Mus musculus: one gene and its partners. Each later gene encodes a partner of the first gene's protein in a complex. Links are inferred from orthologs where the notes say so. Each region holds a gene or a part of one and is shown in the gene's direction. Other genes may lie near its edges.

Region 1 (3,745 bases):
ATGTCTTCTCTCTCCCCTTACCCTCTACCCTGCAGTACTTTATCTTGTGTGGGCTTTCGTTCCCGAATCTTGGTTAAACTCCTTAGGCTTAACTTACTGGCCTCAAAAGTAAGTTTAATATTTCTTCAATGGGGAGGTAAAACTGATATTGTTTTGCAGGGTAATACTCTTCTCTAAAACCCAAGCCTTAAATCCTTATGGCTTTTAAAATCCATGAGTATCTGTGTTGAAATTGAATGTTGCTTTTATTTTTGTACTGGGGGAGGGTAGTGGGGGTATTCACATGTGCGTGCCCACGTTGTATGTGTAGGTGAACATATTTGCACGTGCATGTAGTGCCTCAAAGTTGATGTCAGGAGTCTTTCTTGAGGGTGACATTGAGCCCAGAGCTCTATAGTACAGCTAGTCTGACTAGCCGACTTGTTCCAGAATTCCCTGTGTCTGCCTCTGAGTACCAAACTTACAGCTGGCCTGCCACATAAGCTCAGCACATAACTGGGTCTGAGAATCCAGACCCAGGTCCACACACTTGAGTGGCAAGTGCTTTAACTAGTGAGCCACACCCCAACAGCCATACCCTAAAGGTTATTAATATATCACTAATTAAAGGTGGTGGGGCAAACATTTATCTCCGTTTCCTCCTAAAATCATGCTAAAATTATACTGTTGCCGGAAAATCTTTTAAAGGTATAAGCATACAAAATGGGATAGTAGGTAAGATATTAACAAAATTTTAGGACATGCTTCAAGATAGAAGAGTCTGGTTTTTCCATGTGGTAGACGAGGGAACCCAACAAGAACATTTGTGCCCTGGAATTCCAAAAAGGACCCAGACCTCAGGAGCAGCAGTGTCTCTTGGTAATGGTAATTCTGCATTGGATAGGAATTTTGTTTAAAATGCGTTAGACCTGCTGACTCCCCTTCCATATCTTAAACCTGGAGATTTATCCTGCCCGCCCCTTCAAAAAAATAGTTCCATCCTGTGGAAAGTGCTGGGCAGAGTCTAGTCTGGAAGTTACAAGGGTTAACTGTAGAAATGAAGCACAGGGGACAATTAACAAGCATCTGCTTGGCCGAATAAGGCTTCCTCCCCAGCACCTTCCCTTACCAGGCTTTATCCTCTCCCAGAGAAAGGTGGGAGGCACCTTTCTGAGGAAGCTGACCAGGGTAAAAGGCAGCATCTATAATCTAACCTTTCTGCCATCTCTGCCCATGTACATCACATACCTTACTTCCTATCAACTTATCACTTGGATCTTAAATATAATACGCCATCATAAACACCAGGCACTAAAAGAAAAGTCTGTCCTTAAATACAAAATAGAAGATACTTAAAAGAAATGGAGATAATGCCATCTAACAGAACGGGGAAAAGGTTTAATCATCTGAGATGAGAAAGAATCCTGAATGGTATGCTGCCCAAGGGATTTTTTTAAATTACCATTGAAAAGTTATAAGCATGGTAATTAAAATGTTATCTAGAAAGTTGACTGTTGAGACAGTGGAACAGAAAGCAAAGATGGAAAACAGAGAAATGAATAATGGTGCAAAAAAGTGGAAATTGTAGCAAAGGAAAACGGTAGGGAGGAAATGATTTAACAAAACCTGGCAAGATAGAGCACTTAGTGGACGTCACTGTATGGAGAGGAAAACAGAGACATATAAGAATTTGATTCTGGAGTTTTGATAGATACTGGGGAAACAGTAGACAGAAATGTATAATTTCAGAAAAACAGATAAGAAAACATAATACACTAAGGTTCTCAGCTGCAAATGTTAGCATAACCAGTTGTTTTTAACTGCTGTCATAATAAAGTGAAGCATGTGCAGAAAGTGTGAGGAAGAAGTAAACACCTTATTTTCATTTTAGAGCATCTAGAGAAAATGCCTAAAGCTGATGAAAATCAAGATATAATGTAGGCACGTTATATGGAAATGAGGATGTAAATACCAGAAGAAACAGCTCAGATATTGAAAGGGCATGTTTGGGCAGAATAAAATTCTAGGGTTGGGATGGCTTGGCTGAGACAGGTGTCTGCAGCTGTTCATTGGCCCCTTATAGCACTATCTGTTACATGCATACATCAGCTACTTTAATAATACTCTAGATTGTTAAAGTGTGTTTTGTGACTGACTCTTGGGAATTATGACTCATTCATGCATGTTTGTTGACATGCATGAATTCTCTTGTGCAGATACTGGGCGGTTGCATTGCCCGTCTACCTCCTTATCACAGTTGTAATTGGTTATGTGCTCTTATTTGGAATCAACATGATGAGTACCTCTCCACTTGACTCCATTCATACGATCACAGGTACGTTTATATGAAATAAAATTATGAGGCATAGAGGAAAGAGATATTAGTACTTTTATCAGAAAAGCAATCAGAAATAGGCCTAAGAAACACGTTGGGAGAAAGTCATCTGATACATTCAACATGGCATGATGATTAATCTCAATTGGCAACTTGAAGGAATTTAGAGTCACCAGGGAAACCAATACTGAGCATTCTATGAGGTTTATCTAGAGTCAGTTTATTGAAGTGGGAAGATACCTTAAATGTGGTATGTACATGGGCTCTAGGTCTGAATAAAAAGGAGAAAATAACCTGAATATAAGCATTTATCCCCGTCTGCCTCCTGACGGACAAATGGTAGACACACGTGGTCCGTCACCTCCTGCTCCTACTGACATACCTTCCCCTCCATGGTGAACTGTCTCCGTACAACTAAGCCTTAAGTTGCATTTGTTAGGGACTTTGTTACAGCATGAGGTAAATAGCTAATAATAGCTCGCGGTGATTGCCATCATCTGCACATCAGCCTGCTGAGCAGTGTGATAGGTCTCAACCAACCACAGAGCTTTTCTTCTTCTCTTGCAGATAACTATGCTAAAAACCAACAGAGGAAAAACTACCAAGAGGATGCCATCCCAGCATTGAGAGATGTCCCCATTAGTGAAGTAAACAAAATGTTTTTCCTAGGAGCCAAAGAACTCAATACCTAAAACTGAGCTGTGTATAAACATCCTAAAACCAGTCATTTACAGTTGTGGGCTGAATAATTTTGAGCATAATTATATTGATTGTCCTTTTAATACCCAATATTGACATGTAAAAACATGACAGTTGATTCCTTAGATTAAGTTCAATTGGTATTGTAAATATTTTCAACTGAGTTTTTAATTGACAATAAATAAAATACCACATTATACTATAGTCAACCTTGAGTAGATCTATATGTGCACACATGCATGTGTTCATGGGTGTATGAATGCATACATGCACAGTGTACATAGAGGTCAGAGAACAACTTCGGTTGTCTCTCTTCAGTGCCCTTTGTTTGAGACAGGGTTTCCCATTGGCCTCACTTCACCATGTAGGCCAGGCTGGCCCACAAGTTTCCAGGGCCCTACCTGTCTCTGCCTCCTACCCCATTATGACTTTTGTGTGGGTGCAGAGATCCAAACTCGGGTCTTCATGCCCCTACAGTATATACTTTACCAGCTAATCTCCCCAGCCTAACATAAAGCAACCAAGAACGGATGTCTCCCAAGTCTTCTAACATGCAGACAGAGTTGAAAGTGACTGCCTTGTCTGCTTGTCCTTAGCTGAGCCAGTGATCCAGCAAGACTGTGGCTGCTGCTTACAAAAGAGCAGGATGTGGTCAGAGCTGCCACTCAGTTCACAGTGTTCCCTTGTCCTCTCAGGGACAGTGATGGGCCTGCAAAGTTTTCAAATGGCTTG
Region 2 (3,632 bases), on another chromosome or scaffold:
ACCTTGTCCTAACACGGGGTTTCCTCTTTACCTTTTTAAACCGCCATTTCCCTGTGCACCACGTCTTTCTCCCCTCTACCCAGAGGCAGTCCTTTGCTGTGCTGTCATCATCCTGTCTGTTGTGACCCCCCCCACCCCCCTTCTCCCTCATCCTCTATCTCCTGTCTTTGGCTCTTATTCCCTGCCCTTTGAACTTTGGGGCAAAACCCCTCTACGCTAAGAACTTGGTCTTGGGTATCTTGCGCCAATACTGGCCTTTTCACAGGCGTGTGTAGTGAGTGCCTTTACCTCTTGAACTATCTTGCTGGCTATTTTTTGTTCCGATTTTAAATTTTTAAATTAAAAAATGTTTGTTACTTGCTCTGTGTAAACCATAGGATGGTTTGTCCTCAGCTCTCTCCTGCCACCTTGTGGTTGCAACAGAAGCTGCACGGACTCTATACCACTACTTACCTCTGAGAAGAAAAACTTTCTGATCTTTTAGCTTGCGGGAAGATTAAGGGATGGAGCTTCCTGTGCAGTACTGTGCAGAATCCTAGCTCAGCCTCATTTTTCTTTACGCTGGGATCAGAGATAACACTGCCTCACTAGGCAAGGCAGTGGCCGGCCCCGTGGACAGCATTTACGAACACCGTCCCTCCCCCCAACCCCAAGGCACACACACTCATCGTCTTACTATGTAGTCCGGATGACCTGGAACTTGCTATGTAGACCAGGCTGGTCTCGAACTCACAGAAATCCGCTAGCTTTTGCCTAAGGAGTGCTAGGATTAGGAGTGTGCTTGGCTACATTTTCTCTTAAAACTTCATTTTGCACTTTTTGCGGGAGTACACTCAGGTGTGCCACAATACATGTGTGGAGGTCAGAGGAAAATAGTTCTCCACCATGTGGGTACCGGAAGGTCGATCTCAGGTAGTCTGACCTGGCAGGAAACGCCTATACTCGCTGAGCCATCTCATCAGCACAAACTATTATTTTGCCATTTACCGATTCATACGTAAAATAATGTATCAGTCATCTTTCCGCTGCTTAAGAGGATAGATGATAGTGGCTGAGGCCAGGTGCGATTCAGGATTCAAGTTTATCAATTAGAAGTGGGGAAGGCAGCCGGGCATGGTGGTGCACGCCTTTAACCCCAGCAGAGGCAGAGGCAAGTGGATTTCTGAGTTCGAGGCCAGCCTGTTCTACAGAGTGAGTTCCAGGACAGCCAGGGCTGTCTCGAAAAACCAAAAAAAAAAAGTGGGGAAGGCTTTTCAGTGCAGAAAGACCCCACTGTCTGCTCTGGAGCGCCATGAATAAACTGTGGCAAATACGTTCCTCTCCTACTTCCAGCAGGACTAGCATAGGGGACGCCCAGCCAGAGACGATGGGATCCTTAGCTATCCGGTGCTCTCAGAGTCTTTCTGGCCTCACCCGTCAATCAAGACCACGGGGGCGGAGCCTGAGCCTGGGAGCGAAGGCAAGGTGAACTGTCCAATGAGCACGCGCGGACCGGCTCCATCGCGGGATCTGGGTTCCTCACCCCGCCCCTGCAGGGATTTGATTGGGCGGCTGGCCGGGCTGTCCCGCCTTCGTGGGGCGGTGACTGTCACCGCCAGGCGCCGAAGGGACCGGACTCCTACAGGCCTGCAAACGGTGAGTTGAGGGTCTCGAAATACGAGCGGAGGAGCTGTTGAAACCGGCTGGGGCGGGACTCGCGCCAGCTTGGCGTCTGCGCCATGGACGCCGCCGACTCCGTTTGTCTGGCTGGTTCGTTTTCGGTTCGGCCGGGTTCCCCCTGTCCTGTCTTGCCCCGCTCGGCTCGGCTCGGTTTTCTTCGGCTCGGCTCGGCTCGGCTCGGCTCTGTCCCTCCGTCGGTCAGAGACTGCAGCGGGCTCGTTGCCCCTTCTGGTCCCCGAGGCGACTGCGCCCAAGGGATGGCGCTGTCTTCGGTCTGTGCATTGACCGCGGGTGGCTCGTGACCTGGCCCCAGGTTCTGGTGCTGGTTCCCAGCCAGTCCTCGTATAGAAAGCCTCACTCAGATGTCTGAAGCGAACCCGGATTTGTAGGTCGCATTCCGCTTCCCCAGTTCACAAAAACATTATCAGTCCACCTGTCCTTCATTCTGTTTTTCAAATTGCTTACTTCCCAAAGTAATTCATGACACTTGTAGTGTTTTAAGCATGGTCTGGCAGCCGTTCTTTTGTCACTGCCTCCTCAATACTGATACCTCTGATGGGGGTCACTATAGGCAGTTTTGGAGGACACTCCTTTTTTTAAAGGCTTCTTTCTAGCCGGATGTGGTGGCTTGGGGAGGCTGATGCAGGAGGATCACAACGTTCGAGGCCAGCCTGCCGGTTCCAGCAATCCTGTCTCTAACCTACTCAGTGCTGGTACTGGCTGCTTCCCCATCCTTTCCTCTCCCTTCCCGTCGCCTGCCCTTCATCTTGTCATCTTGCATTTTTCTCATACAGTTAAAAGACCTCTCGCCTGCGCTGCGAGGGACACAGGTGGTGTCTGCAGTCGCTGGTAACCGCTGCGTGTGACGCGGAGGCTGAGGAGCCGGCACCTTCGGCCTGGGACCCCTGGACTTTCTGCGTGCCCTTGGGAAGCATGCCTGGGTGAATGAGGAGTCGGGACAAGGGGAAGATAAGACAAGAGCGCACCCGCACGAGAACAGAACTTTTCAAACAACTGAGTTTTCTTGAGACAGTTAACCTTTTAAGAAGGGAGGAAGATGATCCGGTCCCTGCCCACCATGACCGTCCTCATCCCACTGGTCTCGCTGGCAGGCCTGCTCTACTCCGCCTCCGTGGAGGAAGGCTTCCCAGAGGGCTGCACCAGCGCCAGCAGCCTGTGCTTCTACAGCTTGCTCTTGCCGGTCACCGTGCCTGTGTACGTGTTCTTCCATCTGTGGACATGGATGGGCCTGAAGCTCTTCAGACATAACTAGGGGAGCCGAGGCCCCTCCTGCTCGGGCTGCCTGCGGAGTGGGGCATGGCCGGAGGTTCCTGGCTGTTGCAGATTCTTTTGTAGCTGAAAAATACTTTTCAATAAAATGTCTTATGGGAGAGGAACACGACCAGCCTTCATCCAAAGACTGTTTCTTCTAAGATTTGTTCTTAATTGTGTGTCTGTGTGTGGGTATGCGCATGTGAGTGTGGGTGCCCAAGGAGGCCATGCAAGTGATGGGTCCCTGGAGTTGGGGGTACAGGCAGTTGTAGGCTACCGGAGCTGTGTTCAGATCATCCATAAAGGATGCGAGTTCATGTTCTTAGCCCCTGAGCCATCTCTCTGCCCGCCTATTGCCTTCTCATTTAGTTCTGGGGAACCTCAAGCTGTGAGAGGCAGACCTTGTCCTCCTTACCTTCCTGTCTCTACCTCCTGAGTGCTAAACTTATAGGCAAGAGCTCCACATCCATTCATGTGGTGCTGGAGGAACCCAGGGTTTCAGGAACGCCAAGCCAGCACTCTGCCAACCAAGCACCCAGGCCCTAAGGACTGTCTTTTTTTTAGCCCATTCATTTAAAAGTTAGTTGTTTGGAAGCCAGGCAGTGGTGACACACACACTTGGGAGGCAGAGGTGGATCTCTTGAGGGTCCAGGCCAGCATAGTGAGACTGTCAAAAATAATTTGGGATTTTGTTTCCGCTT
Region 3 (4,398 bases), on another chromosome or scaffold:
TGGAAGTGTTTTGAGTTACAGTGTCTGTGGTTGAATAGTACACGCAGAAATGAAGGTTATGGCGGCTCTCATTTCTTCTAGCCAGGCCTTTACATAGCATAACCTTTGTCTGAGAAACCCAGGGCGTTTCTTTCTTTTTTCTTTTTCTTTTTCTTTTTTTTGCATTCGACTTGGTTTCTCAACAGGGCACATGCACCTCTCCACCTTAAGAGTACAACCACTGAGCTCTGCCTCGAAGGCTCTGTCCTCAGAAGCTGGGAAGTTACCTTCTGGGGATGCTCAGGATCAATGGTTTGTTTACCAGGCTGGCCTCACTCAGCCAAGGAATCTTGTCAAACTTTGGAACAAAAGCCTACAGAGAGAGAAATGGAAAGAGATCAGGTTGCAGAGTTTATCACACTTCCGAAGACTAAATCTTAAAGGGAGTCACAGGGCCAGAGAGATGCCTTGGTGGCTAACAGCACTCCTTCCTCTTGGAGAAAAGCCAGGTTTAGTTGACAGCACCCACAAGCCAGCTCATGACTGCCTGTAACTATAGCGGCAGGGGACCTAGCACCTTCTTCTGACCTCCACAGACACCTGGAGTCAGGAGCACATATGTAGACATAATTAAAAACAAAATATTAAAAAAAAGTTAAAATACTTGACCAGTGCTGGTATTACAATAAGCAAAGTAAGCTAACAGCAACCACACAGCAATCAATACATTGCAAACTATTTTAACACGAGAGTCCTCCAACCATTCCATAAGGTGGCCAAGAACAAATAAGCGCCTTCTTTCTTTTACAGACAAAGAATTCAAAGCCCAGATAGTGTGAATATGAATAAATGGGTTCATGCTTTCTGCCTCTGTGTCCACACTATTTAACAGTCTCTATATTTTAAATTCTTCGAGCTTCCATCTATTTATAAATCCTGTGACACTTCCAAGACCCCAGTTGAAAATCAGCAATCTCTCGTCCCAAAGGCTCTCCACCCTCATCTCTTTTAGGTGGCAAAGTCTAGGAAAGGATCCAGCTTTGGAGCCATCCACATTTGGATATTTCTGATCTACTTGCAATTACTAACCAGCTGCCTGACTTTGGTCAAAAACAAACTAATGATCGCATCGTCTCTGTGCAAGTCAACGCACAGGATGCTATGTGAGATCTGGGATCTCCCCGACTCCCCCCCCCTTTTTTTTTTTTTTTTTTTTTTTTTTTTTTTTTTTTGGTGAATACCAGAAGCCTGGTTTGGCACCTATAGGAGGAGGGTTTGGATGCATGGAAAGTCCCTTGGCTGAGAGCCTGTCAACACATGTCATGGTAACCTTGCAGTTACCAGTCTTCCACCAGCCCCGCGACTCTTCCTGCCTTCTCCTGCCTTCCACACCCTGTGAAGTAATTCCCACTGAGGGATTTGCTTCCCAGGCTTAGCATTCCACTAGGAGCAGATTGCCAGGAGAGGAGCAATCAGTAGAGGGCAGCAGTGACCTCGCGGTGTGGAGTCTCGGGGCGGGACGCTTTGGCCGCCGAGTGCTGCGGATCCGGAAGTGCTCCTCCACAGTAGTCCCCTTCCAAGCCGGCGTCCCGGATGTAGAAGTAGCTAGGCGGCCGCTCTTCTCGGTCGTGCACCCCCCTAAAGAGCTTGGTGCAGGTGGGTTCCGGCGTCCTTCGCTGTGAGCGCTTCCGGCTGATCCAAGGCTGGGGCGGGGGTCGGCAGCGGCGGGCGGGGCAGGCCGGTTGGGTGAGTGGTAGCCCAAGACCCTTCGCCGCCCGGTGACGGGGACCTTTCAAATCCCGAGGTCCCAGTGCGTGAGGGCCGACTCCAGGGTGTACGGCTTTTAAAGCAAAGGTCTATCCTAGCCTCCACGAAAAATACAGACGGTCCGGCAGGAAGTTCTTTCTCGAATTTGCTGAATGACCTCTGTGTTTACGACTGGGATGATTGTTTTCTTGATCCTGCGCTAGAGTTTTGCTGTTTCAGTTAATTAGGATGATATAGCACTTTAAAGGATAGTAAGTTCAGCTAATGAACAAAAAAGATTTGAGTTCTTGGTTTGGGCTAAAACTATAGAGAGATCATGCCCTTTTGTACGGTGCAGGTTATTGTCATTCGACCGATAACTTATTCAGATACCTTTGGGGACCTAGTAACGGCTATGGATGGATTCTGTCCCTATAAATTTGCGTAAGTTGCAAATATAATCATGCAAAAATAGTATAAACCTTAGAGTGTATGAATGCCCAAGTTAAGACTGGCTTAGAGAAGGACGACCAGAAGCAGAGACTTTGACACTAGACTTTTGTAGGAGGTCTGGCTCCACGCTGTTAGCCTGGGACCTAAATACTCTACTGTTTTGAAACTCAGATGTCTTATTAGGTAAACTCATAACTGGTATTAACTTGTAAGGCTGTGACAGTTAAAGAAGGTGCATAAGACATTTAACATTCTGAGTTAGATGCAGATATCAATTATTAAGACTACACTTTAAAATGTGAAGGCTTAATGCCGCATTATGTCACCAGACACAATTTATCTAGGCTTTCAGTAAGCCAAGTTGTTTTTTATTGTATCTGATGCCAGCTTCCATATATTTACAGTTCTCTCTTCTAGGAATTTAGCTGTGTTGTCCTGACCCTCAGGACAAACTCATCTAATGCAGGCTCAGCTTGTACTGAAGGCTTTGTAAACAAGGAAAGTTCTGTAGGGTATCAGCATGGCATTTCCAGAGAGTTCTTAATCTACAGATTTATCAAGAACCAGAACCCCATGGACGTCCCTGAGGGAGATTGAGCCAACCTGGATTTGAGGAAAGAATGAGATAATGTGTGCTCAACGTGTAACAGACACCCCAGAAGTCAAGTGGCAGAAGGTTTTATATGAGCGGCAGCCGTTCCCTGATAACTATGTTGACCAGAGGTTCCTGGAAGAACTCCGGAAAAACATCTATGCCCGGAAGTACCAGTACTGGGCTGTGGTATTTGAGTCCAGTGTGGTGATACAGCAGCTGTGCAGTGTCTGTGTTTTTGTAGTGATCTGGTGGTACATGGATGAGGGTCTTCTGGCTCCCCAGTGGCTTTTTGGGACCGGACTGGCATCTTCCTTGGTTGGGTATGTTTTATTCGATCTTATCGATGGAGGTGATGGACGGAAGAAGAGTGGGCGGACCCGGTGGGCCGACCTGAAGAGTACTCTGGTCTTTATCACTTTCACTTACGGTTTTTCACCTGTGCTAAAGACCCTGACGGAGTCTGTCAGTACAGACACTATCTACGCCATGGCAGTCTTTATGCTGTTAGGCCATCTCATCTTCTTTGATTACGGTGCCAATGCTGCTATTGTATCCAGCACCCTGTCCTTGAACATGGCCATCTTTGCTTCTGTTTGCCTGGCCTCACGCCTCCCCCGGTCACTCCACGCCTTCATTATGGTGACGTTTGCTATCCAGATCTTTGCACTGTGGCCCATGTTACAGAAGAAACTGAAGGCGTACACCCCGCGAAGCTATGTAGGGGTCACTTTGCTTTTTGCCTTTTCTGCCTTTGGAGGTCTTCTGTCCATTAGTGCTGTGGGAGCCATACTCTTTGCTCTCCTGCTGTTTTCCATCTCCTGTCTCTGCCCTTACTACCTCATTCATCTGCAGCTTTTTAAGGAAAATATTCACGGGCCTTGGGATGAAGCTGAAATCAAGGAAGACTTGTCTAGGTTCCTTAGCTAATCTAGGGACCTTCATTTCATTATTAAGACCAGCGGAAAGACTTCGAGCCTAACCGGTGCAACATTTAAAGGCAGGGGTCCACTCTTGAAGCAGCCGACTGATCTAGATGGTAGAGCTGAGATCAGAAGAAAGCATTTAACCAAGGGCTTAGGGGAGGGTGCTTGTCCTTCAGTTATTTTGTGACTGAAAAAGCTTTCTGGTGCTGTTATGAATTATTGTCCTTTATTCCCTGTAACAAATGATGTAATGTGGGTTCTGCTTATTAAAAAAGTAATATCCATTGCATTGTCTAGTATTTTAAAAAAAACAAAACAAGGAAACCCTTATTTATGTGTGTATAAGAGAGGGGGTTTGTCTATTTCCAGTATGTATGTCCCACGCATCAAATTCAGGCCCTGGCAACAGGCCTTTACCAGCTGAGCCATCACACTGGCCCTGTCTCATTTTTATGAGAGCATAAGACAAAAGTAGTATGAAGGTGTGTGTGTGTGTGTAAAAGTGTAATCAGTTGTTTAGCCTTTTCTGTGTATACTAAGGGACACCTTTATATATCTAGAGCCCAAATTTGAGAATCCCTGATGGTGGCATCCAGTTTGTTGTCCAATACCACAGAAGTGGTCACTCAAGGAGAGCTACATGCCATAGAAACAAAACGTTAGCGATATGAAAGAGGCTGGAGGGTGAGTTCATCTCAGGCA

The links. Proteins that work in one complex are often made in the same cells at the same time.
Region 2: Pigp (region 1) and Pigyl share a complex: the UniProt entries of both Homo sapiens proteins name them as parts of the glycosylphosphatidylinositol-N-acetylglucosaminyltransferase (GPI-GnT) complex. The link is inferred for Mus musculus from reciprocal best matches to the Homo sapiens genes PIGP and PIGY.
Region 3: Pigp (region 1) and Pigc share a complex: the UniProt entries of both Homo sapiens proteins name them as parts of the glycosylphosphatidylinositol-N-acetylglucosaminyltransferase (GPI-GnT) complex. The link is inferred for Mus musculus from reciprocal best matches to the Homo sapiens genes PIGP and PIGC.

Annotation. Positions count from the first base shown.
Region 1 is NC_000082.6:94,363,924-94,367,668, reverse strand, and holds the end of Pigp (phosphatidylinositol N-acetylglucosaminyltransferase subunit P), read left to right. Parts: intron 1-35; coding exon 36-108; intron 109-2,195; coding exon 2,196-2,314; intron 2,315-2,881; coding exon 2,882-3,006; 3' UTR 3,007-3,217; downstream 3,218-3,745. UniProt on the Homo sapiens protein: Part of the glycosylphosphatidylinositol-N-acetylglucosaminyltransferase (GPI-GnT) complex that catalyzes the transfer of N-acetylglucosamine from UDP-N-acetylglucosamine to phosphatidylinositol and participates in the first step of GPI biosynthesis.
Region 2 is NC_000075.6:22,155,279-22,158,910, forward strand, and holds Pigyl (phosphatidylinositol N-acetylglucosaminyltransferase subunit Y precursor), read left to right. Parts: upstream 1-1,567; 5' UTR 1,568-1,635; intron 1,636-2,453; 5' UTR 2,454-2,716; coding exon 2,717-2,932; 3' UTR 2,933-3,077; downstream 3,078-3,632. UniProt on the Homo sapiens protein: Part of the glycosylphosphatidylinositol-N-acetylglucosaminyltransferase (GPI-GnT) complex that catalyzes the transfer of N-acetylglucosamine from UDP-N-acetylglucosamine to phosphatidylinositol and participates in the first step of GPI biosynthesis.
Region 3 is NC_000067.6:161,967,645-161,972,042, forward strand, and holds the start of Pigc (phosphatidylinositol N-acetylglucosaminyltransferase subunit C), read left to right. Parts: upstream 1-1,543; 5' UTR 1,544-1,635; exon of another isoform or gene 1,636-1,725; intron 1,726-2,582; exon of another isoform or gene 2,583-2,595; 5' UTR 2,596-2,806; coding exon 2,807-3,700; 3' UTR 3,701-4,398. Other genes in the region: 4930558K02Rik (uncharacterized protein C1orf105 homolog), read right to left, coding at 267-352. UniProt on the Homo sapiens protein: Part of the glycosylphosphatidylinositol-N-acetylglucosaminyltransferase (GPI-GnT) complex that catalyzes the transfer of N-acetylglucosamine from UDP-N-acetylglucosamine to phosphatidylinositol and participates in the first step of GPI biosynthesis.